Linked DNA regions of Rhinolophus ferrumequinum. The protein of the gene in region 1 interacts with the protein of each later gene in a pairwise test. Links are inferred from orthologs where the notes say so. Each region holds a gene or a part of one and is shown on either strand. Other genes may lie near its edges.

Evidence for each region.
Region 2: the proteins of BAG6 (region 1) and SERPINI2 interact in a two-hybrid assay, tested with the Homo sapiens proteins (2 studies listed by BioGRID and IntAct). The two-hybrid records come from large-scale screens. The link is inferred for Rhinolophus ferrumequinum from reciprocal best matches to the Homo sapiens genes BAG6 and SERPINI2.
Region 3: the proteins of BAG6 (region 1) and TAC1 interact in a two-hybrid assay, tested with the Homo sapiens proteins (2 studies listed by BioGRID and IntAct). The link is inferred for Rhinolophus ferrumequinum from reciprocal best matches to the Homo sapiens genes BAG6 and TAC1.
Region 4: the proteins of BAG6 (region 1) and RNF126 interact in binary tests that used the Homo sapiens proteins (3 or more experiments, as listed by UniProt). The link is inferred for Rhinolophus ferrumequinum from reciprocal best matches to the Homo sapiens genes BAG6 and RNF126.

The regions. Positions count from the first base shown.
Region 1 is NC_046286.1:2,146,778-2,154,155, forward strand, and holds the start of BAG6 (large proline-rich protein BAG6), read right to left. Parts: upstream 3,052-7,378; 5' UTR 2,913-3,051; exon of another isoform or gene 2,737-2,912; intron 2,272-2,736; 5' UTR 2,259-2,271; coding exon 2,145-2,258; intron 1,020-2,144; coding exon 902-1,019; intron 774-901; coding exon 577-773; intron 338-576; coding exon 284-337; intron 127-283; coding exon 52-126; intron 1-51. Other genes in the region: APOM (apolipoprotein M), read left to right, coding at 3,193-3,309, 5,846-6,000, 6,268-6,341, 6,429-6,527, 6,702-6,800, 7,197-7,222. UniProt on the Homo sapiens protein: ATP-independent molecular chaperone preventing the aggregation of misfolded and hydrophobic patches-containing proteins.
Region 2 is NC_046285.1:74,328,607-74,337,059, forward strand, and holds the start of SERPINI2 (serpin I2), read left to right. Parts: upstream 1-5,085; 5' UTR 5,086-5,136; coding exon 5,137-5,383; intron 5,384-8,453.
Region 3 is NC_046303.1:29,689,598-29,697,656, forward strand, and holds the start of TAC1 (protachykinin-1), read right to left. Parts: upstream 3,130-8,059; 5' UTR 3,033-3,129; coding exon 2,904-3,032; intron 2,875-2,903; exon of another isoform or gene 2,726-2,874; intron 2,480-2,725; coding exon 2,348-2,479; intron 1,282-2,347; coding exon 1,185-1,281; intron 707-1,184; coding exon 662-706; intron 172-661; coding exon 148-171; intron 1-147. UniProt on the Homo sapiens protein: Tachykinins are active peptides which excite neurons, evoke behavioral responses, are potent vasodilators and secretagogues, and contract (directly or indirectly) many smooth muscles.
Region 4 is NC_046301.1:62,166,528-62,174,209, reverse strand, and holds the start of RNF126 (E3 ubiquitin-protein ligase RNF126), read right to left. Parts: upstream 3,205-7,682; 5' UTR 3,098-3,204; coding exon 3,023-3,097; intron 1-3,022. UniProt on the Homo sapiens protein: E3 ubiquitin-protein ligase that mediates ubiquitination oF target proteins. Depending on the associated E2 ligase, mediates 'Lys-27'-, 'Lys-29'-, 'Lys-48'- and/or 'Lys-63'-linked polyubiquitination of substrates.

The DNA.
Region 1 (7,378 bases):
GAGCATGGGGAGACAGAGTGACAGCAGACCCTAGCCAGCCTTGACACTTACCTCCATCCTGGAAAGTAAGGTCTGTATATCCCTGATCATGTGCTGAGCCATCACCAGCCGAACCCGGGGCTCACTCTACAATGAGAGGGAAGATCAGGGCAGGTTTGAAATGAAGCCACGAGATCCACAGCCTACTGAACCAGGTCCCAGCATCTCCTCAACCAGGTCCGACCCACCTCACGGCCTCCTTCTCCCAGATCCCCTTCGCTGACCCTCCCAGGCCCCATGATACCTGAATCGGGGCCTGTTCCATGTTGATGTGAACATCCACAGCAGAGCCGTCACTCTGGGGAAAGGGTAAGGGAAGTTGCTCTGGGAGAAGCCAAATACTGAGGCCCCCACACTTTCAACTCATTCTCTGGAGCCCCACCCTTTTTCCCCTCAAGACTGCGGCTATTAGCAGACCGCAGGGCCCTCCAACCCCAATCTAAAGACTGCGACACCTGTCTTAAGAGCCCTCTGCTGTTACCACAACCAAAACTACCCTTCCCCACAAAAACCATCCCATGTGGAACACAAGCTTACAGGAAGATTGAAGGTTCCAACCATGACATAGCTGTTGGCATTCCGGTCATGAACAGAGGTCGCAGGCCCCCGAGGACCAGATGAGGGTCCCCCACCATGGGTGGCTGAGGCAGACCCTGTCCCAGAAGATGCCCCAGAAGGGATCTGAGTCTGAGGAGGAGCACGTTCCACCAGGTGGATAACCTTTCCCCCAACGTCTGGGGAGAAAAAGTGAAACAAAACAAAACAAACACGAAAACATTGTATGATCAGGTAAACCCTCCATCTCAGCTCATCCCTCTGGGCAATTACCTCAACCTCTCAAATGCCTCCCCCACCCCCTTACTGTATTCCTGGAGCTTCTTATCATCCTGCAGAACTCGTCCCTGGTAGATGAGCCGTTGTTTCTCTGAGGGGATGCTGACAGAGGCAGCAATGTGCTCCTTAAACTCCTTTACATTCATCTGCGAAGAAGGGACACACACAAGTATGAGGGAATGAAGGAAAGAGGAAGGACAGAAGAGGGACAAATGACTTCTGGGGGTGAAGCGTAAAAACCATCCCATTATAAAATCACTAGCCACTTGTCTTGACTGTGAGGTAAGGATGGCGCAAAGCCCCAAACTCAGACAACTCCTGTCAAAAACAGACAATGAACATAAGGAAATTCAGTTTCTAGGCCTAGGAGAAAAGTACATGGCTGAGAAACAGAAAAGCCAACTGACATTCCCTTCACTCCTTTGCCTGGCTCCCAAAGAAATGTGTGTCTAAAGATACCAGTGATCCCTCCCCAAACACAAAATGATACAACTCTAATCCCAAAGATAATAGTAACAACACGGAAAATCGGGTGGACAATCAGGTTAAGGAAGAAAAAGAGAGAAGGCAGCAAAAAAGAAAAACATTTTTCCTAATTAGGCAACTGACTCTTGGGAAGTATCAGGCTGCTTACGTACATATAATCACAAAAACCTACATGGTTTTCTGAAATACACGTAACACTGTGTTTTAAAAACCACAGACCAACCTCTCACAAGTCTGTCTCCAAATATTACAAGAGTAGTAATATGGATACTTGTATCCATGTTGTTGAGCTCCAAAGATTCAAATTATACCACAAACATTAGTTATTCCCCTCAACAGTCTACTAAGGATCTACCTGCATTACCAGTTCTCATTTCTCGCTTTTAAAAACACACTATAGAGACCTGACCAATTTTTGTTTTTAAGACACACTTGTCTTTGGGGTCTCTGTGTTCTGTTTCCATTCCCAAAGGCAGGAGCCATGTCTGTGCCTTTGAGCTGCAGTTCACTCAAGATGATGGCATACAGATTCCTCCTCCCTCCATTATTTCCCTCTGCAATGAGTTCTATCAAGGTGGAGGAAGGCAAAACAAAATCTACCTCATTCAACAGAAACCATACCTTCTCACTCAACAAGAAACATCAGAAAATGTTCTGTCTAGAATATGAACAAAGGAATCAACGAAAGAAAAGTTGAGGACCAGAAAATCAGGTTTTTCTCTCAGGCTAAGAGACCTACAAGAGAAAGGGTAAATGACTGTCTTCCAGAAGTACTGGGGTCTCACCTGGGCCCCCACAATAAAGGTCCGAGTCTGAGAATCCAGGGTCTTCACCAGCACCTCCAGGCTGTCAGGCGCCTCCATAGTGGTACTGGTACTGTTACTGTTACTGGGCTCCATGGCCTACAGCTCTCTAAGGAAGAATGGAGAGAGGCCCGCTGTAGCCCAGAGCAGATTTTATATACCCAGAAGCCTCTCCGGCCTGAGTCTCCGCCCCAATACCTAAAGAGTTTCTCCCACACAAGCACACACACTCACACCCGCCCCCATCCCCCTTCTGATTCCGGGGCACAGGGAAAAACACAATGGGCAAGACACGGACCGCACAGGGAGCTAAGGGGACGGGGAGGTGGGAGGGGCTCCACGATGCCAATCACAATAAGGGAGGGCAAGTCGGGCTAGGAAGCAGGGAGGGAAGGAAGCGCGAGACCAGTGTCATCACCGGTCGCGAAACAAGGACCCCAGAAGACGGCAAACCCTGGGACAACGCGAGAGCGGGGAGGAGTGGGGTGGAGGGAATGTCGCGCTAGACTCTGCGGAGAAAGTGGTTTCGCGCACGCGCGCCACGCCCATTAAACCCGCCTAAGTCACGACAGACCCGAGATGACGAACACTCACGGGGGGCCAGACTGGCTAGATGACTGCCCCCCTCTTCCGCCTTCCTTCGGTTCTCCAGCAGAGCGTCGCAACCAACACACACCAAATACACACACACCACCCTGCGGCTCCGCCTCCGACTTCCCCCCGGTACCGTCACTTCCGGTCTCCTCCAACCTGCCACGGACGGCCACTTCCGTTTCCCCGACAGTATTTGGAAATCGCGAGGCGGAACTTCCGGCTCCCCCAGGTCCCAAGCTTTACTTTCCTGGGGCACGACAAGAAAGTCCGCGGCCCCAAACAGTGAGTTCCTGGGGCGAGACGGGCAGGGCCGGCCAAGATGGGAGGGAGCCGAGCACCCCGAGAAGCCGCCGCCGCCGTCGCCCGAGGGGCCGTATTGCGCCTGCGTGCATCGCAGTACGCATGCGTACACAGTTAGGCACCGCCCCATCGTCTGATGCTGTTAATTTCTTCTGGGCGCGCGCTTGTGCAGTGGGAGATTGAGGTGGCTACTACAAATGCCTGGAAAAAAAAAAATCACCAGATGAGACTACGACTGTCTCAAGACGCTTTGGTCGGTTGTATGGATCTTGGAGTTTGGCGACTGAGGATTGTGTCTCGTTAACCTATGTTAGTCCGCAGAGACTTTGAGACGGCACTGTCCTGGCCACCTAAAATTCCATCTCTCTCACTCTCGCTACGCCACTCCTATGGCGCCTCCCGAAGTCACCCTTTCCTTAGGCGGTTAGGGGTGGTTCGCGAGCTGTGTTGAATGCGGACGAGTCGTTGGGCCTGACCTCGGGTCGGCCTGGTGGGCGTTTTGCGGAGTGTGGGCGCCATGTTCCTCACCGGCAGTGCGCGGCCGAGGGAATACGCCATGTTTTGGAGAAACTAAGGATTTACCTTGCATGACTTTTGTAAAAAGAAAAAAGTGTCGGGGGGGTACCTCTGAGTTTGGGAGCTGGGAGCAAATGAAGTTCGACTGGACCAAAACACAAAACTGACCCTGGGGAATTGAAGGGACCGCCAAAGTGCTTCCGTAGGCTAAGGTCCAGAGAGTTACTACCTCTCTGCCCTTTTCTCCCACCCCCGCCCTCGGGCTAGTGTCTGGGCCCCTCTGCGCAGCCACAACCCCAGCCTTACCCGTCGCTGCGGCGTGCCGGCCCCTGGCGCCCAGCCTTTCTGGGATTCGTTGTTTATCTATACCCATGTCCCAGTACTGTTTCAGGTAAGAGTTCTGATAAACACCTGTTTAATGAGCACTTAGTTTGTGCCAGCCAGTTTTCTAAGGGTTTTATGTAGTGTCACATTTAAAAGCCTTTGAACGCTTGAGATAGTTACTACATCCATTTTATATAGTGCGTACACCTAGCCAACGTAAGTGGCAAAACTGACAAATCCAGGCCTACTAGACCCTTCTGGGTCAGGCACCTCTACTGCCCCAATAAATTGGTTTTTATTATTTAAAATGTCAAATATTGCTTAAAAATAATAGTATAATGCACCCTCATATACCCTAAGCCTGCCTCACCTCGCAGGACAAATCTTTTGTCAGTCTTGAGTTACAAATCGATTGAGGAAGCGCCACCTTTTCATTGCATTAACTCCACCCAACTCAACTGGCATTATCCAATGACTGCCTCTTGACAATTCTTTCCTTACCTCCTATTTGAGAATTTATTACCCACCGGAAGCTATAAGTGCTTTACAAACATTACTATTAATTTTACCAAATAATTACTTTGGACTTGCCATGTGCAGGCCTTTGCTAAGGGCTTTTATGCATTGTCTCTTTTAAGCCTATGAGATTGATGATTTACTCATTTACAGGTGAAAAAACAGGCATAAGAGATTAATAAAATTGTCCAAGTTCTAGTAACTGGTAGAGTTAGGGTTTGAGCCCATTCTGCCTGACACCAATGTCTATCATCTTTAACTACTAGGTTATGGAGCCTCTTGTAGTAATAAACTCAGTGAACTCATCTGTCAGTGAACTTTTCTGGATGGTGTACATGTTGTTTCCCCAATTATAAACTTCAGAGAGAAAGCCTCCCATCAACCATGCCCCAGCACCTGATTCATATCTGTTCTAAAGCACTTACCAGGTTGTATTGCAATGATTTGTTTACACAGCTAGTTTTCCTTAGACTGACTTCTTCAAGGCCAGGGACTGTGTCTTACTCATTTTTACGTCCCCAAGGCTTAGCGAGTTCCTGGCAAACAGCTGGAACTCAAAAGAGTTTGCTACCGTAAGTGAATGAATCAATCAATCCACCTCTCTTCAGTGCTGCACAACACAGCAGACATCCAGCTCAGATATGGGTTGAAAGAACACAGGTTTCTACCTTCAGGACTCAGCTTCCTTATAATTCCCCAAAGACCCTGAACATGCCAGGGGGTATTGTGGAGTGGTTGCATCTAGGACAGGGGGAGGAAGGGCCGAACCACTCCATACTTGGAAAACAAGGTTGAAGTTACTCATTAGCAGGTAAAAGGGTCAAGGGTTGAGGCAAGGGGGCTGGAAGCAGAGTGGACTGAGCAGCCAGCGGAGAACAGTTAAAGCACCAGCCACTGCACGCAGAGCACCAGCTCCCTATTGCTTGAAGATGTTCCACCAAATTTGGGCAGCTCTACTTTACCTCTACGGCATTCTCCTTAACTCCATCTACCAGTGCCCTGAGCACAGTCAACTGACAACTCAGGGAGTAGATGGGAAAGAGGTATGGAGAAAAGGGGGACGCTTATAGCGGGGGCTATGAGGGACTTGAGTGGGTGGCCTAGGGTGACCGGAAGCCACATTGGGAAAGGAAAGGAGGAAGACAGTGTGAGTGTTGTGATGATGAAAGCAAGGACAAGTAAAAAAATATCAGTACTATGCCCATCAATGTAGACACATGGTAGAATTGGCAGGAAGCAGGGGGTGGGGGCGTAGTTACTCAGGTTGATTGAGGGCAAAGAGGAAAAGTCATTTAATGACTCCCTATCATGGATCCAAGCCCCAGTTGGAAAAAGGCAGCCAACACCTCTGCCCCTAAGTCTTGCTGTCCTGACAGAGGTTAGATGAATCCTGTAGTGGGACCCACCCTCCTCTGCTCCCCTTGTCTCTCCAGTTCCCAGAGCCCCACCTGGGCCAGTGGTACTTCATCGCAGGGGCAGCTCCCACCAAGGAGGAGTTGGCGACTTTTGACCCTGTGGACAACATTGTCTTCAACATGGCTGTGGGCTCTGAACCCACACAGCTCCAGCTCCATGCTACCATCCGCACGTGAGTGGTGAGGGGGCAGGGACCAAGAGGTACAGCCTCTGCCCAAAGTGTGAGCACCCACCCACAAAAAGCTGCGCTGTTTGGCATATTCACTCTTTTTAGCCCACTGAGTTCAACAGCTCTATTAGTTTTCCTCTGCGGAGAGATGGGCCTAACCATCCCTTGGTAGCTTGAAACCCAAGGGGACCCGGGCTTCAAGAAGGAATAAGAGGGAATAAAGGTTGGTACTGTGTGGTGGGGATGTCACTCAGTCTTTCCTCCTTGCAGGAAAAATGGGTCCTGTGTGCCCCGGGAATGGATCTACCACCTTACTGAAGGGAGCACAGATCTCAGAACTGAAGGTTGGTTCTCTGTAGCTCCCCAAGTCTCCTGGGCTTGCCTGGTTTTGCATCTCTGTCCTCTCACTTCCCCCCAACCCACCCTGACAGGCCGCCCAGACATGAAGACCAAGCTCTTCTCCAGCTCTTGCCCAGGTGGAATCATGCTGAAAGAGACGGGCCAGGGTTATCAGCGCTTCCTCCTCTACAGTGAGTAGGGAGGCAGGATGGGTTGGTGGGAAACACAGGAGGGGCAGAAGAGTCCCTCACTCTGGGCCCTGTGACATCATCCCAGGAAGGGCTGGATGCTTCCAGGAGGTGCTCACCAGGGGCGGTGCTGAAAAGTAGAGGGTTTGATGGGGCCTGGCCTTTCTGCCCTTCCAGATCGCTTGCCACACCCTCCCGAGAAGTGTGTGGAGGAATTCCGGTCCCTGACCTCCTGCCTGGACTCCAAGGCCTTCTTACTGACTCCCAGGAAACAAGGTGAGAGTGTAAAGTCCCACAGAAGAGGACTGGGACTCACCAAGTCTTCTGTGGGTGCTGGATGAAAGGGACAAGTGATGTCATCAGAGGGCAGGGCCCAAAGCTGACATCATCAGAGTGGCACCAGGTGTGTTGACACATCCATTTGTGTCATAGGTTGTGATGGCACCAGAGGGAGCCAGGGTGGGCTTTGGGCTACTCATAAGAGAGGTTTCTGAGTTGGCAGTGGATAAAGGGGGCAGAGGAGCAGACGCAGAGGAAAACAGGTCACCGAGACCCCTTCTTTGACACAGGGAATGAGGGAATGCATTCTTCCCCAGCCATTACCAGCAACCTTGCTTCTGTCCCTGGATTTACTTCCTTTCCATCCTCTTCTTTTCTCCCTCCTCCCACCAGAGGCCTGCAAGTTGTCCAAAGACTGACCTGTGGCTTCATCTATGCCCCCAAATGGATTCAGTGGGAGCTAAGATTGTGGTGGGGGAGAGAAGCTGGAGACTCCCTTTCAAGAGTAATAAAGATGGCTTTCCAATCCTCATCATATGTTGGGGTTTGTCTCCAGACATCAATCCCACTCCCCC
Region 2 (8,453 bases), on another chromosome or scaffold:
CGAATCCTATCCTCAGTTAACTTCAGTGTCACTTCTGTGAAAGGAATTAAGAGGAGCTATTGCACAAGTATATTTAATGAGAATAGAATTTTTAAAGTTATGAAAGTCTCTTTTAATGTTATTGTTTCTAATACTAGGAATAAAATGCATACATAAAAAGAAAAAAAGATATTTAGTTATTGTTTTAGTTTTATACCTTATAGCATCTAATTGTGCTGGATAGGTAGCAGGGTCTCACCTACCAAATGTTAATATAACTGAAGACTTTATGAGCTATTTCTGAAATTAACATTTAGGTTTAATTATTTAAGATCCAGTTTTCCACAGTGAAAAGAACTTGTCATATTAAAATAGGATGTGCCATCATTTTTAATAAGCTACTTTGTAGTATGAAGATTTACACTAAACATAATTTAACCTGTTCTCTTTTCGGAACATTTTCCTCTTATCACCCAAAATATGTGGAACAAACTGATAAAGGATAAAACTGTCTGAAATTAATCCATGGAAGAATTAACTTTTAAGTTCTTTATTTATTAATGAGAGCATTTGATTATATGTTTTTTTAAGTTTGAAATTAAATATATTTTTAGTTAAAAAAAAACCTATTAAATGTGAAGAAAGATGAGATTAAACCTGTCACCCCTTGCTAGTATTTTTATACATCGTCCCAGGTTTATTTTTTTACAGTAGGGGTGACAGTGATGGTGCTCAAATTTATACCAAAACACATTGGCTGTCACTAATGAATAATTGTTTTTCCTGATGTGTTAGGGGCGACATAAGAGTTGTAGAAGAAACAGATTTTTGAAAATATTTAAAAGGTTTGCAGTAACATTTTATGGACACTTAGGTTATCTTTATTAAAAAGGTATTAAAGTAGCTTAAATCAGGGAGGAGAAATTCATGGCCATTGCTTTTTACTTCCCAAGAGACAGGAAAATGTATTCTTCATGAACTGCTCTACCATAAGGTCCTTACAGAACAACTTCATTAAATGATCTTACTAAGACAGAGTGTCTGTCTCTGTCACTGGGAGGAAAAGTAATGGCCTATTCCTGGGGAAATCGCATTATGATCCAAGTAATGTACAGACATAATAATTTGGTAGCCAAGTGTACTTGTGATGGATGTTTGCTGGTGTCACTACGTGGGTAAGAGAGCATTGATTGAACGACAGTCTTGGACATTCAGACTTATTATTTGTAATTGCAGAGTAGAACAAAAAGAATGATAGGGTTCTTGCGTTGCATAACTGTGTTCCGGAAAATTATCTCTAACACTGTTAAGTGGAAAGCTGGCAATGAGATTGTTTATGTTAGATTAAGTAGTGGTAGGATATAACCCAGAATTTAGAAAAATAAAAGAGAGATACCTAGATGGTTAATTAAAAATGTTCGTCTACGAGTTTTGGTTTCTTTATTTGTTTGTGGTTTTCCTTTGTTGTTTTCAGTTTTCCATCCCACATATCAGTGAAATCATATCGTTCTCAACTTTTTCTGTCTGATTTATTCTGGATGGTGAATGTGATATATATCCCACAATGTGATATATAGATGATGTATTACAGAATTGTACACCTGAAACCAATGTAACTTTACTAACCATTGTCACACCAATAAACTTTAACTAAAAAAAAAAGAATCGTGGTAAATTAGGAGATTATGGCCAATAACAGTCATCAGGCTACTCAGGCCTCTTATAAAGCTATAGCCCTATTAGGACTGAAAATTGTTAACAGAGTCCTTGAAAAAGTATTTCAAAAATAATTCCTTTTAAAGGTATCTATATTCATTTTATTTATTTTTAATGAATTTATCAGAAACAATATTACATTTAGTAATCAATAGTGAATACTTGCTTAATTGTAATTGGAACATGTTTTTTAAAGCTTAAATTATTATTTTGTTTTTTCAGTTACAGTTGACTTTCAATATCACGTTATATTAGTTTCAGGTGTACAGCATAATGGTTAGACATTTATGTAATTTGTGCAGTGATTCCCCCCGATTAGTCTAGTACCTCTTGGCACTATACATAGTTGTTGCAATATTATTGACGATATTCTCTATGCTGTATTTTACATCCCTGTGACTATTTTGTAACTACAAATTTGTATTTCTTAATTCCTTCCCTTTTTTCACCCAGTTCTCCAATGTTCCTTTGCTCTGGAAACCATCAGTTTATTTCTGTATCTCTGAGTCTGGAACTAAATTTTCATTTCTCTTATCAGAGGCCACTAACAAATAATCCAATGTGTTTAATAGCTGATTGCCACTGACGTGATTGATTTGAACTAGAACAATAACATCAAAACCCATTCAATGATGCAATGATGTATTTTTTATTAATGAACTGTCTGTAGACGAAATCATGTAAAATTTAAAAATCATGTAAAAGTAAAACCTATGTTTATTATCAAATTCCTTATGTTGAATAGTATTATCTTGGTATAATTTGGTAAATCAATAATTTTAATCTGGTCTTTTTATTCAACAACATAAGTATTATATTTCTTCAATATCCAGTTTTTTCCCAAAGGATTCAAATGGACCTTATATCCACAGGAAATTCCTTTGACTATTGTGTAATTTGATGAATTGTTGAGAATTCTGCAGCAGTAATTTGTCTCTGCATTCTGGACTTGATTTAGCTTTATTCTTTTTCTCATAGGCATTCTGAAATATTATGATGGAATATATTGGTAATCTGATATGGGAGTCCTGTGAGAAACAAAAAGAACTAATTACTAGCAAATTTAGAAGCACAGGCATATTCTTTCAAATTCAGTTTCTACTAATAAAAGAAGTGAAATAATGGATGAGATAATAATACAAACCTAATGATCTTTTAAAATTCTATTATTGTTTTCTCTCTCGATTCTTCGATATTTCATCACTGGTAATTAACCTGATCATGTGAGTCCTCTTATACAAATGTGGTGAACACCTGCTTTGGTTTTAGAGGAATTAATCAAGCAGTGTTCAAGATAAACAGAGTTGGCCTTGACCGATCAGGTATTCCATGTTCTAGTGTTTCCCAGAAGGGATATTTTAGTTATAACATTACCGTGAATACCCAGAAGCAAATTTGGGGTAAGTACCTTAAAATTAAATAGATTATGAATATAGTATATATGCTATAATATTGACTCTGAGTATTTAATAGAATAGGAATACATTCCAATAAACTTTGGTAGATAGTGTTTAAATTTATCAGATTAGCATATTCCTCTTTATTCTCCTTAAAAGATGTCACACATTTAAATATCAAATTCTTATAGAACTATTCGTCAGGTTGTTTAGTTCATCAGTACTTTGTGATTTCTGATGAGATACAATCCAAAGCCAATGAGGTAAGTGAATTTTTAAAACCAATTTTTGTATGCACTTGTAATTTATTAAGTGTCTAGAAATGTTCTAGAATAAACGGATGCTCAAATAATGTACTTTTTAAGTGTTAATGTTGTTAATAATAATGAGAGGAAAACTTCCAGGTTTTACTATAAGTAAAAATTATGTATTTTATGTAATATTATTATGTAATATTATTTTTCTAATACAGACTAAATACATAAAGATGTACATAATGGAATGCCACTTGATGACTTAAAAGTACTGATAACATTTTGACTATATATCTACAAACCAACATTTGGGCAGAAATTTTCTGAGATATATAATATATTAGAAAATGATACACAGAAATTTATTTTGCATGTATAACTTCTCTTATTCATTAGCTTTTACTATTGTTGTGCTGCTATTTACAATCTTATATTCTAATTTAATCCTCGGTAAAGCATTTGCTTGATAGCATATATATATATATTTATATTTGTAGTTTATCAAAACACTATTTTCTAACAATTGCCTTGGATTAAATTTGGATTACATTTTCCTTTGCAACTTGTATATCTAGACAAATAGATTTAACTACATATATTAGAAAACAATTTGAAATATCTAGATAATGACTCCACAGCTTAGTTTTGGAGAATGTTTGACTATTAGTAATCTTTATATGTAAGAGTGATTTTAGTGACTCATAACCCATTCATGGGTCATGGTGACCTTCCTAATGGTGTGCAAAACACTCTAGAAAGATAGTTCTTCATTTCTTTAAGGCTCACAATACATTATTTTGAAGGCTTTCATCTTTACCTCCAATGAAAGTTTACTTCCTAGTAACTTACTAAACTATGGGTTGTTAAGGGTTACTAAAGTGTATTATCTATAAGGTAAAATTAGTGTTGCTAAAACGTATGAGTCCTTCAGAGTGTACTATTCCAAAAGTCTTTGGTAAAATTGCAAAATTCATTCTGTTCAAGATGTAATTTGGGTTGAATTTCCTGCAGTTTTAGTGGAGAGTATTTTAATAGGGTCTCATTACTGTTGTTGTGAATCGGTTATAGTTTTCAATTGAAGTTTTCTTATATTTGTTGTTTGTCAAATTATTCTTTGATTTTTTTTAATGCTCCCTTCTTTTGTTATAGCTGTACCATTTATATTTAGTTGTAATTTTGTTTCTTTTCTCTCTTTGGAAAGGTACATGTGGGTTTTGGGGTATTTTGCCCTACACATTTCATAAAGTGTGAGAATTCCTATTGTAAAAAGCCAGATTACTTAATCAATTTAGAATACATTAACTCCGTAACATTATAGGTCCCAAATCACAAAGGAGTGTGTTCATTTTTTATTCCATTTCTCTTTTTTGATTTATTAACCATTCTGGAGTAGTCTGGACAGAGGGTTCTCTTGATATCAAAGTTACAGTTATCCCATTTAAAACCACAGGAAAAGATAAGAAAAAGATCATATAGCTATTTAGGTATATTATTACTAATTATTATGCTCCAGAATTATAATTTATCCTTTGATTTTAAAAAATCGCTATATATTTTGGACTGGTTCTTGAAGGAATATAAAAAAAGACCATTAGCCTATAGCCTATTTCTCTAATAGATGATGCTTAGTCTGAAAACTGGCATTAGAATCTTCTTGTGGTAATTTGTCCTAACAAGACAGAAAATTCTAATAAGTAGAAAGTTTTCTGTTTAGTTTTTTATATGGTAAAACTAATATATTTATTAGTTTTGAAAACTAATGTATTTTGAATTGATGCACAGAGGTCAAAATGGATAAGATCTTGTTGTGGAGTCTCCTATTGACTTTTTCTGGAAGTCAAGCCTCAAGATCCTTGGCTCAAAGACATACTGAATTTGCAGTGGATCTTTATCAAGCTATTTGTTCATCTCATAAGAACAACATTATATTTTCCCCCCTTGGAACAACTTTGGTTCTTGGAATGGTACAACTGGGAGCAAAAGGAAAAGCACAACAGCAGATAAGACAAACTTTAAAATTTCAGGACACCTCAACTGGTGAGATTTTAACATATGATTATTTATATTGGATAAGATCTAGTCAAATTTATTTTTTAAATATTAGAGAGAAGTTCAGGGTCATAGAACTTTAATAAATTAAAAATATTATAGAAAGATTAAAATTATAATAAAATGAGGAATTGTAAATGTAAATGATATTTATTCATTTATAATCATTTCATAATGAAAATGTTGCCAAAATAGTTTAAGAAATTAATTCTATACAGATGTAAAATTGTGTATATCTGTATATTTTCTTCTACTCTAATTTAGCCCGTTGTAATTAATTGAGGTTATGTTGTACGTGTGTTTTTATACGTATACCAGGGGTGCCAAAAAATGTGTATACAAGTGGACACTTTGGTCAACGTTGCTCAAGCAGTAGTTTGCTGTAATCAGAAGTGTCTGGACGCTGATGGTAACCACTTTGAGCATCTCTTGTAATTGCAGAAGTCAAACGTGACTTGTATTCATCTTTTGTTATGCATTGGTATTGTATTCATCTTTTGGTATACATTGAGTATTATAGTTGCAATACAGTTTTCCTTTCTTAAAATATGTATACATTTTTTTTTGGCACCCTCTGTATGTACCTACATATGTATATACACAGATATTCTTCCACTATCACTTACTATGTTGTGATTATTTTCTCATATCATGCAACTACTTCAGAATATAATTTTTAATTGTTGTATTTTACTATCTCTTATGGAAATACCATCACTTACTTAATCCTTCTTTATTAGTTTGCTTCCAATACTTTTTTTATTAAAATGTTTTGGTGAGTACCCTCACCCAGAAATCTTAGTGTGCATCTCTGTTTTGTTAGCTTTTTAAAATTAATTTTCTAAGTAAAATTTAACTTTTTCACTTAAATCAGATCAAGAAAAAGCATTGATGTATATATTTTAAAAGCTTATTTGGTTAATAGTTTTTAAAGAAAATTTTTGGAGATAAAAAGCATTTATACAGCCCTTCAGAGGCCTTTTTGAGTGTGAGTGGTTGTTGTTTTGGAGTATCCCAAAGGTTCATCTGAAATACTGTATAGAAGCTTTAGTGCTGGCATTCCATTTGAAGGGGTGGTTGCCTATTTTCCTGACTCTTCTGTGTTCTCAATTTCCATAATAATTTTAATTTCTAACTTTTACATCTCTGTTAGATAATCCATCCTGAACATCAGAGGAAACATCCAGGTTTTTGATTTGGGAATTTATTCACTATGACTAATTTCAATATGTTTGCCTTAGTACAGATTAGTTATATGTAGGAATTTGTTTTTCTTCTTTACAAGGTTTTACTTGTGTTACTTTAAATAAAGTCAATTTTATAGAGAAAAAAAGTTGGTGATAATGAAATTCATTGCAAGGGTTTCCCTATGTGAATAATGGAAAATGAAGCTACTGTGTTCCAGATTTAGTCTTCACTGTCTATAATAATTTCAACAAATCCCACTATACAGTCCCAGAAACATTTCAGTCCCATGATACTGCTTTGGAAAGTAATAGAACATTTATGAAGATATGTAAAGTTGAATCCATGATAAATTAGTAAAATTAGAGCCTCTGAAATCTAAATTACTTTAAATGGATTTCATCTTATATAGAAACACGTGTCTTAATAACTCTAGGTTGTGAATGAAATAATAATCATAATGATAATGATGTCACTTTCAAGTATATATAGTGTCACAGTCACTGTTTTATGTGCTTTATGTACATGATTTCATTTAATATTCATAATTACTCTGTAAAGTAGACATAAGCCTGCTGTACAGATGCGGACACTGAGGCAAAGAAAGATTAAGTAACTTGCCCAGAACTATTCCAAAAATAATTCACTGAGGGTTATAGATCACATGAGCAATAAAGAAAATTTCTATATTTTCCTTAGAAGAGTACATATGGATAATTTCACATTAACATTTTGGCACATATAACAAAATTTACCAAACTTGCTTTCTATTATGCTCCCTTAAGGGAGATACAGATAAAAGATAACTGCAAAAAGAAAAGAAAGACTAGCCAACAATGGAGAAGATATGAAAAAGAAACTCTGGAAAAAAAAAGAGGGGGACACTAAGGAATAAAGAAAAAGGAAACACAGAGTTAAGGGAGGGAACAGAGTGAATGTGCAACAGGATGGAGGGGGGAGGTCTGCAGAAAGAAGAGCAAACTAGCACTAAGGGTAGAATGAAGGGTGTGACAGATCAGAAGAAGGTAGTGTCTGGCAGAGCCATATTGGAACCCAAGAAAAAAAGAATAATCAGTAATAATGATCTTGCCTTTATTTAAAGTTTTCGTATTTTGTTCATCATGGATTTACGTTAATACTGATTTTTAAAGTGCAGAAGGTGCCAAAACAATATATACACATTTTAAGAAAGGAAAACTGTATTAAAATTGTAATACTCAACATATACCAATAACAAAAGATGAATACAGGTCATGTTTGACTTCTGCAATTACAAGAGGTGCTCAAAGTGGTTACCATCAGCGTCCAGACACTTTTGATTACCGTGAACTACTGCTTGAAGCAACGTTGACCAAAATGTACACTTGTATACATATTTTTGGCACCCCCGGTATATATGTTGCAATAAAATATTATTTATCTTGATTACTGAGTTTGATAGCATCTTTTTAAATTTTATGCGCAAGGTGTCTCTGACTTATGTTAGTCCTAGCTCTGCCTTCAATACCCACTGATTGTCAAAAGATACACTCTGTTGAATCAGTCTATATTTTACTTTTTTCTGCTAGCAATCTGTTTTACATTAACAGCTGACTTATTCTACAGATGGGCACACAACTCCTGGTGTCCCACCCCACTGGTATTCTCAGTATCAGTTCCCCGCCTTTCCCCCATTGCTAAAACATCTGTTCAGAACTTACCTTCTCCAGTTTACTGAGCTTCTGATAATGCTCTGTTTTCCTTGGCATCTAATAATGCTGCTTACTATGCAAAGGCTAAATTGAAGGTGCTTCTTTATTCCAAGATGGTTATGGAAAGAGAACTGGACATGAATTCCTGACTCAGCTCTGCAATCAAATGACCTTGTGATTTG
Region 3 (8,059 bases), on another chromosome or scaffold:
AAACATGAGTTCCTCCATTCTTATATTGTCTTAATTTAAAATATTAAGTCCCAAGTTGAAGCAGGAAATAAGATCAGGTGTTATATAAAGTGGAATTCAATCTTTTACATTTGTGTTTGATAAATGTGCAAATAATTTTGAACTTACTTTTATGAGAGATCTGGCCATGTCCTAGAAGAAAGAAAGATAAAATGAGCAAATGCAATAGATTTGTTTTAAAGAGGCTACATTATGTCTTTTAAAGAGAAATATAAAATAAGTTGATTTTTAAAATATGGAACATTGCCCATTCTTGTACTATCCTGAGAAATATAACAGAGCCATAAATGTTCACCAAATTATCGATAATAAAGCAAAATATTTTAACAAACAACACAATATTTTTAAGTGCTTTCTATAGGTCACAGATTCAAATCCAGGAGTATGAGTCTCCTGAGGCCTGCTAACAACTAGGCCATACCTCCTCTGTTTTCCTATAAGAAACACATCTTCAAGGATGGCTACGAATTAGACACTCAGGAGAGAGAGGGAGAGATACCCAAATCCATCTTTTTATTAAACAAACTTAGTCAAGAATCTGTATTTCAGCCTATAAAAGACATTTTCACTTTCCTACATATGTATTCACAATAGTAAAATAAAGATTTATAGAAATGTTTACCATAAAGAGCCTTTAACAGGGCCACTTGTTTTTCAATTGAGGAATCTGACAAGAGACAATTGACATTAACTGTTCACAGGTCCCACTGATGGTACATGAATTCAAAGAAAGTGAATATTTCTATCACTAGACAAGGGGCAGCTAAGTCTCTTCTAACCCCAATCGTCTATAATCAGCTTCCACATGCACTTAGACTAATCAGACTACTACTCCCTGAGGCTCCTGCTTGGTCAGTTTGGACCTTTAGTCCAGGGAGCTAAGGTTGGTTCCTGTTCTTGGTGGTTTGGTTACAACACTGTGAGGCATATGAAACAGATGTCTCCCTCCCTCCGCGGGCATGTGCGTGTGACAGTGAGGTGAGGGCAAGCGCCGCCCCAGGGGTGGGTGGGGAGGGGGAATTTCACCCCTTTTAGGCTAGAAATCTCTAGTCAAAGAGCCAGAGAGAGTGAGTGCCCTGAGAATGAGTGGGCAGACCCGGCGGATTGCCGGGAGAGATAAAGAGAGGGATGGCTGCCCATCTCACCAGCATCCCGTTTGCCCATTAATCCGAAGAACTGCTGAGGCTTGGGTCTCCGGGCGATTCTCTGCAGAAGATGCTCAAAGGGCTCAGGCAGCTCCTCCTGGGGGACAGACGTGCGAACAAATGGGCGTGTAGGCAACCGGCACGAGGCTCCCGGAAACCTGAGTCATTACCGTGGTGCGCTCCAGCCCTGGGCGAACCTCGGCGGCCCGCACTGGGGTCCGGTGGGGCCAGGACAGGGAAGCTGGCTCCACAGGCAGGCGAGAGGAGGCTTGGCTTACCCACGCCCGGCCGAGGGGGGTCCAGGACAGGGCGCCCCCTGCCTCCACCCCTCCCAGCGGAACTCCTGTGCAGCTCACTGCCTCCCCTAAACCCTTGCGAGTTTGCAGGAGGCTCGGTGTCTTTGAGCCCTGTACACTTTCCACTCTTTCTTCCCAGCCCGGGTCCCCTCCGTCATCTGCAGCGCAGCCACCAGACTTTGTCTTGCTCTGGCGCCGGCTTTGGAGACGCCTCGCCACTCTAAATGCACACAGGTGTGGTGTGTCTGTCGGGGATGAGTGGGAAAGGGTGACAAAGCTTTACAAGTGACCCGCACAGAGCGACGTTCCAGCGAGGCGCGCTCCCTTGTACCAAGAACCTGCGAGCCATGTAAAGAAAAACTGGCAGCTACGTGTTCAGGTCCGTAAAGTAAACGCCACGGCAGCACGTTAGCTTCCCATCCACCTCCGTTCATTTAAGTCCCCAGCAGCTCGCCCCTCGTCCCCGCTTCTGCCTATGTCCGGGGTGCGTTCCTTTACCCCGGCTCAGCGTTTCCAAACGCCAGGTCCTTGCAGCTGGACTGGAGTTCCCCGAAATCCCTGTTACCTGGGGATGAAACCTTTTGAGGTTTCCAGCCTTGTGAGGACCCCGGGCTCATCAGGAAGGGCATCATTGCTTCAGTGAGTTCCGGAGACCCGACCCGCAGCCCTCGGGAAGAAACTTGGAAGGTGGGCACAAAATCTCGTGCGGGTCCCAGGGAGTAGCTTCCTTTACATCCCCCCCCCCCGTGTGCCCCCACTGCCTGTGGTCGCGGTCGTAGTGCCCACCAGGCTAACTAGGGGTGGGGGGAAGTGACAGGTCCCAAGCCCAGGAAAAAGGACATGGGCCAGCTTGGGACCAGGGCTCACCTTGATCTGGTCGCTGTCAGACCAGTCCGACCAATAATTAAGATCATCACTGGCTCCGATTTCTTCTGCACACAGTTGAGTGGACACAAGAAGAACGACTGCCAAAGCCACAAGGGTTTTCATGTTGGATTTCTGGTCAGAGTGGGGAGAAGAGATCGAGGAGAGAAAAATACATGCATCGGGGGTGGCTATCCAAGAGTTGGAGCAGCAAAATTGTCGGTCCCACAACAGAACTAAGGGCAATTGAACCAAGATAAAAAGTCTAAGGGCTGAAGTCCCGCCTGTATCCTTTAGGAAAGATAACCATGCCCCAAAGCTTCTCGAATCCCCTTCTCCCTAGATCCCAACTCCCCCTGCCCCCGACCCACCAATCCACACCTTCAAGCCAGGAGTCTCCGCAGATGGAAGACAAAGAGGCACAGAGGCATTTGGAATACCTGTCTCCCTGCTGCACCCCCACTGTTTCTCGCCCCAGCTGGCCCATGCAGCTTTGTCAGCCGCCACTTCGGAGCGACGCGCGGCGCGGCGCGCCCCCCGGCAGGGCTCGGGCACTTACTGCTGCGGCCGAGCCCGCTGGGTTGCTCTGGCTGGTCTGAGCGCACGCGGGGCGCTCCACACTGGGTCGCTGTGGCGATGGAGGAGGAGGTCGCAGCGCGCTTTCTGCCGGCCTAGTGAGGTGCTGCATTTATCTGAGACTCCACGAGCCTCTAGACCCACGTGACTCGCTCCCCACGAGATTTTTCTGCTCAATATTTAATTAGCCGCCTCCTTTCGCTTGCGTCTGATTGAGAGTTTCCGAGACGGTAACCGGTCGGTGCCCATAATATCTGGACCCAATTGGGTTCGAAATGACGCAATTTTAGGAAAATCGAGATCTCGCCATCCAATCCCCAGGGGCCAGTCTTCTTCCGTCTGCAGATCTGACGCCCCCTCCCCTCTCCTTCTTCCAAACGGTGTTCCTTGACACTTGAGATTACTCATCAAAATTGAGCAAAGTGACTCATTCCTCGGACTTCGGCAACTTTTCCGTCCCTTGAGACGTCAGGATAAGTTGCACTTCTAAGGATGGGCAAATAACTTCAGGTATTAAGATCTTGTCGTCGGAAATCGTGCTAAGAAAGTAGGAGCACTTCAAATGGGGGAGGAGGGGTGGAAGGCATTTTTTCCACCTTCTGTTTCCATCTGCAGACTGTCTTACGTGTTTCTGAGATACAGCCTCCTTCCATGGGCAGAACATCCTTCTCCCATATCAGCTGGAATACCCGAATATCTTCAGCATTACAAAAGGATTTTTAGTCACCAAAGTATTTCAGAGGATGGATGCAGGTTTTGGAGAAAGGGGAATTTAAACGTGATACTGCAGGTAGAACTTTTATTTCAGTGCCATTCTAGGATATCTTTTGTTCCAAAATAGCTAAGTCCTATTCCTTGCCACATCCAGAAGCAGGGGGAAAGAGGATATTCAGCTTCTTCTCTCCTACCCTTTCTTGCTGAAGATTAAGAAACCGGCAAGATGGTACCAGATACTTACCGGGTGTCGCTAAACGACTGTAAAGATCATTCATAGATTTCTCCTATATCTGAAAACAAGTGTAGTGAAGATGCTAATTGCGTGGTCATTAACAATACGAAACTATTAGCCTAATAATATCTGTACAGAAATCACAGCTTTCCATGAGCCCATGGTTTGCCTTGCAGACACATTTCTTTCATCTCTAAATGAATTAAATGATGTTTCTTGGTGGAGATGTTTTCTCCTCTTTACTCAGTAAGTACTATATTTTGCAGCTAACTCCGATGTATTTAGTGTAATGCATAAAATAAATAATTTTCGCAACCCATATAAACCAGTAATTTTTTCCTCTAATATATGTTCTTTCTTACATAACCCTGCATTTTGAAATTCCCATGTGTCTCTCATTTCTTTAGGCCTAGCCTCACAACCAGAGGCATTCTATTTTTTGTTTTTATAAGTTTTTATATGGAAAATTATTATATTAAATATACAAAAGTAGAGAGAATCATCCACTTGAAACAATTTGCAAATTTTATCTAGAAATCCTTCCTATTTCACTTCCACTCAGATTATTTTGAAGCAAATCTCAGACATTTCAACTGTACATATTTCAGCATGCCTGTATATTTATATAATGGTAGAGATTTTAAAAATAAAAACAGAACCATGCCATTATTCCACCTAAAACAACACAAAATAATTCGTTACAATATTATATATCCAGTCAATGTTCAAATATTCCTCTTGTTTCAGAAATCCCTACCCCATACAGTTTACTAGTTGAAATCATACCCTGCACTTGGTTCGTATATCTCTAAAATCTCCCAGAAGCCATAGTTTATGGATAAAAGTAATCAATAAAGTGTACTACATTCTGGAGTTTACTGCTTGCCTCCTAATGGTTTCTTTTAACTTGTTCCTCTGTCCTGTTTCCTGTTAATTGGTAGTTGTATCTAGAAGCTTGATCCCCTGTAGGTTTGGTTTTTCTGACAAAGCTGCTTTGCACGTGTTGTTAGGAAACACATGATAACTGGTTGTTTCTTCTTTTGAGATGTTAGCAGTCTTTAATGATCATTTTCTAGATCTATTAGTTCATTAGTACTTTCAAAATAGTGTTATTCTGATTTTATCATTCATTCTTTATTGGTTAGCTGGACTATTTCTTCCATATAAAGAGAAACATTTTCTCTCAACAACTATTTAATTACTCCAAGACATTATAAATATAAGAAAGACGGGATAAGTGCTTGATTACTTCCTTTGACCAATTTTAAAAATGAGTTGGTAAATTAAAACATTCAAGCATGGACGTTTTTTCCAAAACTTTTAGGATGATTATGACCTCATGGAATTAAACATGTGAAGTATTTCAATCCTTTAAAGAAGGATAGAAGCAGGCCTTCTTCTAACTGATGCTCAAGTTATCCAGTTTCTTGGACCGTGGGTGACATTTCACATTGGTTCCTGAGACTTCTGATGTGTCTTGAATAGGCTTTAATGGCTGTCTTGTTTTTTGGTGAGACAAGATATGCCAGGTTTAAGTTGTGTATTTTCTTTCTCAGACCTGCAATTTGCATTTAAGGCACTCTCATTTCCTTTGTAGAAATGATAATTAGAGATTATAATCTGGGCATTGTGGATGCATATTACTACTGAGTACTTCATTGTTTCAAGACCTTTTCAATGAATAGAACTGGAAATGTTTGTGTGTAAAATCATAACTGTATATTGACACTTCCTCTGCAAATCAGGATACCATAGTCTCTTTCCTTAACCTCTTCTGTTTTGCATCTATTCTATCCTGCCAAAAAAATTCCAGCTCCCAGTGACGTCAACATAATTACTCATTAGCTTTATCCCAATGCATAATGCCAACATGATCAACAATATGATTATTAGAAACAGATTAATAGTTTTTATTTGCATGTCTTTATCTTTAGGCTATATCACACTAGGTATGTTCAGTCCATTTACTATATTTTAAAGTCACTTTAAAAGTTCTTCTCTGTATAGTTATGCTACTAACTCTTAAACACATAGGTTCATTTGATCATTTTGATTTTGAGTTTTAGGGACTGCTTTTTAAATTGAACATTATGTAAAAATACATAGTTCCAAACTCAAATATTCAAAACATAATGCATTCAGAGAAGTGTAGCTTTAATTTCTGTCCCTCCAACCTCTTCCTTCTAGTAGCATTTCTTTTCAGTTTTTTAGTTTATCCTTCTATTATTATTGTTATTGTTATTGTTGTTATTTTTATTTTGACATAAGCAAATATATGTTCATATCCCTCTCCACACTCTAAAATTCCACACGTAAAGTGGGGTATTTTAGATTAATTTTTTTTTTGTTGTTTCTCAGTTGCTGATGTGGTTTATAAGGTAACAATAAAGATGGCTATTTCTTCCCTGTTAGCTCAATGTCACCAGGTGTATAATTCTAGTCAGGTGCCATACGTTGTAAATATGCCACAGTACACAAAACACAGGGTGTTTCATATACTTGAGTAATAAATAATAATGAGATAAAATTGGTTAAAGAATACTTTTCTCACTTTTTCCATGTCATTCGTTAATTGCTAACTTAGTGCTCCTAGTCTGATCATGCCTTTACTGACACGCTTTGTCCTTGAACATTGCGGGTTTGGAACATTTATATTCTTTATGGTTTTCTTTGGAATATTTATACTCTTTATTTGTATTTTATTTATTATTTGGGATATTTATACTCTTTATTTGTTTTATTTCCCAGAACATCAAATTTATGAAAAAATATATTAATAAAATACATATGCATGAGAAGTAAAATGGTGAAAAAGTAAATAGTTAATAAATCATTTTTTATGTTTGTAAATTAAAAAAACTGCAGAAAATTACAAAGAAAAAAATTAATATTATCCATTTTCTCATAAGCCAGAACAAACCACTGTTAACATCTTGATATACTGCTTATAATTTTTTAATGGGAAAATAGTCACCTGATTGTTTTTGTAAAATAAGATACAATCTTTATAGAAAAACAAAGCAATGCAGAAAAGTACAATAATGTATTTCTTTTTCATTATTGCAAATTCAGAAATTGCCATCCTTAGCATTAAGAGAACATCATTGTGAATATCTTTCCATGCATATTATATGGTTAGAAGAATAGAACAGTAGACAGATAAGTAAAAATTATGAAAACAGGATGAGACCATCAAAAATATTTTTAATGAAAGATATTTATATTTTGTTTGACTTTAGCAGTAGAAAAACAAAAAAAAAGTGAAAAATGTTTCTTCACGTGATATTTTTTCTTCAAAAGAACCCGTTAATGTTAAAAAACAAGACTTAGAAATAAACATTAAGAAGCTAGCATGTAACATTAAAAAATAGACATTTAGATAATATCTCTTTATTCCCTGTTTTGAAAGATGAGGACATCAGCACTCTTAAACTTTCTCCCATTTCCCCTTCTCCTATCTCCCCATTTTGATAGTTACATGATTATTTTAAAATTATTCAGGTTTATAATACTTAGATTTAGTTTTGCTACCATACTTTTATTAGTATTTGAAATGTCTACTATTCAGCCTGTATTTAAACAGTTTCACTGTTCACTACCAGTTTTTTGTTTGTTTGTTTGTTTGATTTTTAGTTTCAGGTGTACAAAACAATGTAATAGGTAGACACACTACTGAGCTTTGCCATTCTCAAGTTTATTTTTAATCGTCTCTTATTTGGCTGGAAGTCACTGTCAAGCAAATTTTTTTCCTCAGGAAGAAATGACACATATTGTGTTCCCTGAGTTCTCTCATGCTAGTGAATATCTGTCTGTGGCTTCTAAGCTCAAGGGACATCTAGATTAGTTGTAATACTTTAAAGTTAAATTTTATTTTTCACAGTACTTTATGGATATTTCTCCATTGTCCTGTGGAACTGAATGTTATGGAGAATTCTGAGGTGGGACAATTTTTCCCTAAGCTTGTATGTAACTTGCTTTTTTGCCTGACTATCTGAGGAATTCTTTCTTTATTCTTGACATTTAATAGTTTAATTAGGATATGTCTTGTTGTTAGTCATCCTAAATCTGATTTTATTGGAGTTTCATGAACTGTTTTTGTTTTGCAAATTATTCTCTTTCTTCATTTAGGAAAATTCTATTGTATTAGGTCTTTAAATATATCTTTGAAGTGGAAATTTCATTTAAAGAAT
Region 4 (7,682 bases), on another chromosome or scaffold:
GCCCAGGAGATACTATTCCAAGGTACTATTCGGCCCCTCCTTGGTGACAGGACCTGGGGGTTTGACACAGGATGGGCACCAGCTTTTATCCAAGAGCTCCTTCACACCACAGACAAAAGGCCCACGGCCAGGGGCATACTGTGAAGTTGGGGAAACTGAGTTGGAGACAGCTGGCTGGCCCCATTGAATTACACTGAATCACAGGTCTAGTGATGTCGGCCTCTATGGCCCAGGCCCCTCGGGAGAGGCAGGGCTCCAGACGCAATGCAGACCCAGGGAGGGCGGACGGAGAACTGCGTCAGGAGTATTTGGCCTCAGACACAAACACAGATGGATCCTAGGGGTGCACTGGCTGCTCCCTCCGCCCCACACGGCCCTCCTCAGACGTCACTGGGCAGACACACCTGCCCAGACCCAGTAGGAAGCTGACCCCACCCCAAATGTTCCCCATATCCCACAGTCACATCCCATCTGTCCCCCAAAGCACCCTATGCACACTGCTAGATGTTGGGGTGCTAAGCCCTGCCAGGACCTGACGTCATCTCAGGCCCACTGTGCACCAGCCATGTGCCCGTCCCACACACACTTCAAGCCAGCCTGCTACTGACACCATCGACAGGGACGGAGATTCCGATGGAGACACCGTGTCACACACACACACACACACACACACACACACACACACACGACAGGCATGTGGGAACCTGCAGACGGAGCTTGACTTTTGGACAAACCTTGAGGATGTAGGGTACAGCAGATGCACATGAGGCCCACATCACGCTCCTGCCATCACACACACCCCCATGTCCCCAGAGCTCCGTTTCCTGGTAAGGATCAAGCCTGGGCCTGTACACCAGCCTTGAGGCCTCCACGCCAGCCAGCCTGTCTGGTCCCTGCTCCCACATGCCGCGCCCCGGCCACGCTGCCCACCTTTCCCTGTGCATTCCAGGAGTCAGGCGCTGGGCTCCTTTGTGCACACGCCCTCCCACTGGACCTCATGGAACCCATCTGACAGGCGGGGAGACTGAGGCCCAGGGAGGGTGAGCAGCTCGCCCAGAGCCACACAGCTGAGAAGTGGCCTCAGCCTGACCCTCCAGCCAAGCCAGCAGGTACAGAGAGGCATCTGTGAGTCCAAGGTCCTGAACAGGTGGTACAATGACAGCCAGTTCCTGTCACAGCAGCACCAGAAGCTGCATAAAAGCCGCGAGAGTGTCTCACAAAATGGGGCTAGTTTCCCACAAACAAGTCCCCACTTCCGGTTGAGTGCTGGCTGGACCCTCCACTGTCACTCAGTTAAGAGCCAACTTTCCCTCCCCCAGAACAGGTGTGGTGGCCCTTGCTCATAATCGTCATCCTGTGTGCTGAGCCTCCTTGAACCCCACTCCAAACCCACAAGCAGGCGCTCTCCCACCCACCCCAACAGCCCCTCCCCACTGTGATTTGCTCTTGCGACTTTAACCAACATTCTTGACTAAATGTTTGACAATCACGTGTTCAACGTTGGCTCCCTGACCAGCCTCTAAAATCTGAGGGCAAAGATCCTGGCTACCTTGTCACCACTGGATTCTGTGACTAGGAATGTCCTCATCAGACCAGTGACAGTCAGAAAAGGTCAGGGTCCTCCTGGTCCAAGGCCACATGACCAGGACCCAGGCCCTGTGCTGGCCCCAGGAAGGGAGGTCCAGAACCCCTAGCTGTGCAGACTGCCCAGCCCTGCCACAGCAGCCACAGCCCCCGGCTTCCGGATGGTTCTAGACAGGCTGCTTTGGAGCCTAAGACCTGGGACTCACACCACCTATGAAGTGCTGCATGCAACTAACTAATCCAGGCTGCTGGGCTGTCAGGCGACCAGCACCTTCCTGCCACGGTCCAGAAAAAAAGGCTCAGAGACGGGGTGTGCAGGAAGCCAAACAGGCAGAAGCAAGACTTCCGGGAGGCCGGAGTGGGGCAAGTCCCCGCTCCCCAAGTCTGTGCTCACACACCTGAGGTTTCATTTTATTTCTCCCTTCCCCTGGGGAGGGGGAAAGCCCCTTGCTACCCATTCTCTCCTTTCCAAACCCTACCTCTAGCTCCTCTTCTTCTCTGTGGCGGGGATCATGCTGACCGACTCCTTCTCCTGGCCCCTCCCAGGGAACCCCAGAGCTGGAAAGACAGGACTGAGTCTGGCTCTGAAATCAAAACAGGCTCTACCACCCACCAGCCAGGTGACTGTGGAGATAAAGGACAAGAAGCGCACCCTGTTGGTGCTCAATAAATCGTCACCTCCAGATCCCACACCTCCCTCTTCCTGCTCCGTGAGCTGGGTCAGTGCAGATGTCAGGACCGTGGCCAGCCTGAGTGGACGTGGGCCTGTTTTTCCACCTGTAACGTGGGAGAGGGTCGGACTAGACCATCGCTTTCCCTGTCAGCCTGGGGTAGGGGAACATTGGTCCCATCCTAGACCAACTGACTCAAAAACCCTAGGAAGAGGGGCCTGGAAAACTTGAACAAGCAGCCCCCTTCCGCACATGGCGCCACCAGGCCATCTTGGAAGATACTGGCCTAAGTAAGCAGGAGAGAACACCGAGCCGCAGGCTAGGCTCAAGCCCCAGGGAAACGCAAGAACGCAGGCTCGGGGCAGCTGTTGGACCTGGGCAGGGCCGCAGCCGCCTCGTCCCCACGACCGAGGGCAGACGGGGGCTTCCACCGGGAGGCCCGCAGCGACGCCGACCACGCGCTCCGGGAACAGCCCCCGGACACTGCTCCTCCGGCGTCCCGCTTCCTCCTGGACTGGCGTGCCGGAGCAGGTCACGCGGCTTCTGCGGGCCTCAGTTTCCCCATCGGTGACCCAGGGGCCTCACGGGGCGGAAGGCCGCGGATCCGGGGTCACCGGCCCCGTTGCGCCACCGGGGACAGGCCCCGCCTCGGGGCCCTCCGCTGAGCCCCGGGCCAACGCCACCGGGCCTCAGTTTCCCCGTCTGTGCCAGCTCGCCTCAGGCCGAAGGAGAGGGCCCACCGACCGCCGCCCCGACGCGGGGCTCACCGGCAGGCGCGGCACGATCTCAACCGAGCAGCAGTGGCAGAAGTACCGTCCGGGCTGCGGCGATGCCTCGGCCATGGCCACCGCCACCTCCTCCGCGCCGCCCGCCCCCCGCGCGGCGCCCGCCGCTGGCCGTTTGCTGCTCCCTCGCCGGCCGACGCGCTCGCGCACGCTCACGCACGGCACGCACGGCACGCATGGCGTGGGGCGGAGCGGGGTGCGCGGGAGCAGGACGAGCAGCGCGCACGGCCAGCGGAGGGCCGACGACGGTGGCCGCCGAGGGGCAAACTAGAAGCGGGAGTCTTTTGAGCTGAGCGCCGGGCAGGGATTGGGGGGCAAGCCTAGAGGCGGCTTCGGAGACCGCGAAGCCGGGCCTGAGCCTAACGAGGTCCAGCCAAACCCACAAAAGCCCTCACTATCCTCATTATTTCTCCTACCTCAAGTCCCACTATCTCCCTTCACTGTCCTCATTGATCCTGGGACGCGACTAGCGCGCTCTCACCTCCCGACCTTTTGCACTGGCTGTGCCCCTGTCTGGTGCTCCGTTCCCCGACACCCGCTTGGCGTTCCTCACGTCTTTCAAATCTCACCTACTGAGACGCCCTTCTCAATAGCACCTATTACCACCTGATGAAATGTAGGGTCAACTCCACAGCAGATGGGATGTTTGTATTTCGTTCTCGGCTGAACTCAATAACAGTGTCTCCTCCCAGGCAGTCCATAAACACTCGGTGAATGAATGTGGACAGGATCGATGGAAATTCCAGCCCAGTCATGCATTTATTTATTTACCCACTCAACAAACATTCATTGAGCAACTGCTGCATGCCAGACCTTGTGCTGGGTGCAAGGACACAGCAGGGAAACAATGAAAATGGTGCTCTGAAATACTCCATGGCTGCAGGAGGCAGAGATGGATGCAGACACCCCCCTCCCTGATGTTCAGCGAAAGGATGGGACTCTAGGATGGCCCTGGTTTTGCCTGGGGAGACAGACAGGGCTTCCTAGGGGAGAGGGTATTAGATGCCAGGTTTGGAAGAATTAATAGGAGTTGGTTGGAGAAGGAGGCATCGGAGCCAGGGCGTTGAGGAATTAAACATGGGAGCCTGTGTATTACGGGTCTTGAATGTCAAAAGCCTAGGGACAGGGATCTGCCCAGCCACGGTCTTTTTCCCTTCAAAGCTCACAGGTAATTCCAAGCCATTCCTGTTCTGACCACCAGAGTGCGCGCCGGCTCCATCCCTGGGAATCCAGGAAATCCCCAGGTCCACCAAGGGCCGGTCCTTTGCTTCAGGCCTCTCTTGCCCTGGCTCACTTCACACCACCGACATTCATGCATTCATTCTGCAGAAGTTTATGAGGTACCACCCTAGAGGCCTTGGAACCAGAAGACTCGTGTTCAAATCCCACAAGCCACACTGGCTGTGTGACCTCTGGCCAAGTTGCTTAACCTCTCTGAGCAGGTGGCAGAAACTGTCTCCCAGGGTTTTAGGATTAGATGAGACTTGAGGCACACATGGGTACCCACGGCATCTCCTCGGTCCTCGGTTGGCTCTGCTGCCTGCCCTAAGGTCATCTGTCCCTCACCCAGCTTCATTGGCCCCATGGGGTGGGTCAAACTGGATCCCACCTCAGGGCCTTTGCCTGACCATGCCCTCTGTTGGGAGTGCCCCTCCCACTGTCCCTTCTCTTTCCCTGCTTCTCAAAAGGTTGCCTGACCCCTTCCCTGGAGGAGCTGTATCCCCCACTACACCCCACTGCTTAGCACCCTGATTTCTTCACCCACAGCCATCCTATGATCCAGGAGTTATCAATGATGTCTCCCAATAAGTGAGACCAACAGCCAGCATATAGTAGGTGTTCAATAGTCTCGAATAACTGAACATTTAGTGAGTGCTTGCTGTGCACAGGCCCAGGCAAGGCTCTGGGAATGCAGTGGGAATGAGAACACACAATTTTTCTGTTTCAAAATGACAAGCTCAGGAGGTACCAGGCCTGAAGTTTAATCCTCACACAAGCACCATGTGGTGGGACAATTACGACCCCATTTTACAGACAGAGACTGAGGCTCATACTTGGTCACATGGGTAGCCCAGCGGCCCTGAGTTTCCACAGCCTCCAGCATCCAATTGTGACCTGTGACCACCTTGTTGCTGCCACTGATGGGACAGACTTAAGAGGCTCTTTGACTGCTGGGCATCGTGAGACACAGGTTTCAATGTTTCCCAGAAACTTTCCTTGGAAAGGCTTTGGAAGTGGAGGTTGAGTGGGGCCTGGCCTCTACAGACCCCCAGAACAAAGGCCATATCTCTCCCTTAAGACTACCCAGGGCAGGGCCATGCCTCCCCCCTCAGACCCAGGGCAGGGCTGTGCCTCCCCCCTCAGATCCTGGGCAGGTCCATGACTCTTCCCTCAGACTCAGGCCAAAGCTGTGTCTTCTCCCTCGGACCCAGAACAGAAGCAAAGCTATGTGCCTCCTCATAACGTCAAGCCAGGGCCATGCCTCCCCAAACCCCACGACATGGTTGTGCCTTCCCCTTTAGACACTGCAGGACAAGGTCAGAGAGCTCTCTGAGCTGCAGTCTTCCATCTGCAAAATGGGTCTCTCGGGGTACCCAGAGAACTCCCAGGGAGGCTGCTCCGTAACTGGCAACTGTGATTGTAGATCCCAGCTCTCCCCACCTTTGCACCTTTGCACTGGCCTTCTCCTCTGCCTGGAGCATGCTCGCGCCAGAAGGGAAGTTACCAGCTACAACCAAGGGGCCAGTCCACATTGTCCAGTCCAGAGAGGGAATGGCCCTGCCCTTCAGCTCCGCATACAGTTCCTGGAATCTTGCCTACCTGGTCTGACTCCAGTCCCAGTGCTGTGGGACTTCATGACTCCCAGAAACTCACTTCTTTTCCTCCAGCCTCAGCTGCCCCTCTGTAAAAGGGCTTCCTGCGTCACAGTACTGTGGTGAGTGGCAAAGAACACTCACCATGCAACTGCCCTGGCCAAACACCCATCAGTTGACTCATAAGAATCCATGCACACATGTCATGCCCTCACTGTGCGCCAGGCACTGTCCCTGCTGTCTTGGCTGGAATCTGCAGTACTGGGATCCGTGCCCATTTCACAGATGAGAAAATAGAGGCACACAGAGGGCACACGTGGCCTGGCCAAGGTGGCAAAGCCTGGACTGGGCTTCCACAAACACCTCCTTCTCCCTTCAGGCCTCAGGGTCACCTCTTTGGAGACCCATGAACTTCATACTCCCAGGTTCGCCGTATTGCCATCTGCCTTCACAACTTGTGTTCACTCCCTGGTTTGTTTCTAGCCTGGCAGGGACTGGATCGCTGTGGTGACACACCAAATCCAATGGACAATTCCTGCTTGTACTAGTGGCCTATGGCTGCTGTAACAAATCACCACCAGCTTGGTGGTGTAAAACAACTAAATGTTTCTCTTACAGTTTTGGAGGTCAGGGATCCAACACAGGTTTCACCAAGTGAAAGTCCAAGTGTCGGCAGAACAGCATTCCTTCCCAAAGGCTCCAGAGGAGAAGCTGTTCCCAGCCTTTTCCAGCTCCTAGAGGCCGCCCACATTCCTTGGCCCAAGGTCCCTTCCTCCATCGTCACAGCCAGCGATGATGGGTCACGTCCTTTTCGTGTAGCATCTCTCTAACTACAGAGAGAGATGTCTCCGCTGTTAAGGATCCTGTGATGACACTGGGCCACCTGGTAATCCAGTATAATCTTCCCATCGGAAGGGCTTTAACTCAATCCCAGATGCAAAGATTTCATTGAAGGTGACATAGTCACAGAGCCTAGGGATTAGGACCAGTCATCTCAGGAGACCACCTTTGAGCTGGGCTTTCTCTTACTTGTGGAACAAACATCCCATTACTGTACTGCTGTTCCTACCCGCAACCCCCTACCCCTTTCTCCCCACCATTCAGTCCAACTGCCAAGTCTCAATTTAAATGTCTTGTTCCTCTGAGAAGTCTTCCTCAATTACCCCCAGGCTGGGTCAGATATAGCCTTGGGGCATTCTCCATCACAGCTCTGATCACACTGGATTGTCACTGCCTGTTTGCCTGTGGGCTCTGGGACAGAGAGAAGCCTGGGTTGGTGAGCAGGGGCCACAGGAAGTCATGGTGGGTGTTTGAGCTGGGGAGGAGCCTATGGCAGCTGGGGTAGGTAATGGGATGCAGGGTGTGAGGCAGAGGCTGGGTCAGGGTGGAGAGAAGGGCACGAACGGGAGAGAGACACTGAAAAGGGGAGAAGGGGGATCCCAGTGAGGTTCCAGTGACTTCCTTGAGGTCACCCAGCACACAGCCTCTGCATTGGGAGGACACACCAGGCTAGGGAGCAGGCGGCCGCTGGCAGCTGGCCTCCGTTTGGAACCCGCACCAGGCCAACAATAACCTTTTGATACACACAGCCCAGGCCGGGTGTCCAAGCCACAGCAGGGTCAGGTCTCGGCCAAGGTCGCACTGTCTAGCCCCCGCACACCCTTGGCGAGAACACAGAGTCCCATCATTGCCCCATTCCCTAACCAGGGGAGAATCCCCCCAGACTGTTAGAGGCCACGGCCATGTTGAGACAGCTGAGCATCTTCCCTCAGTGCCACTAGGCAGTGACATGGCCCTTGGCCACTGGCTGGGGACATGGGTGAGGCTGG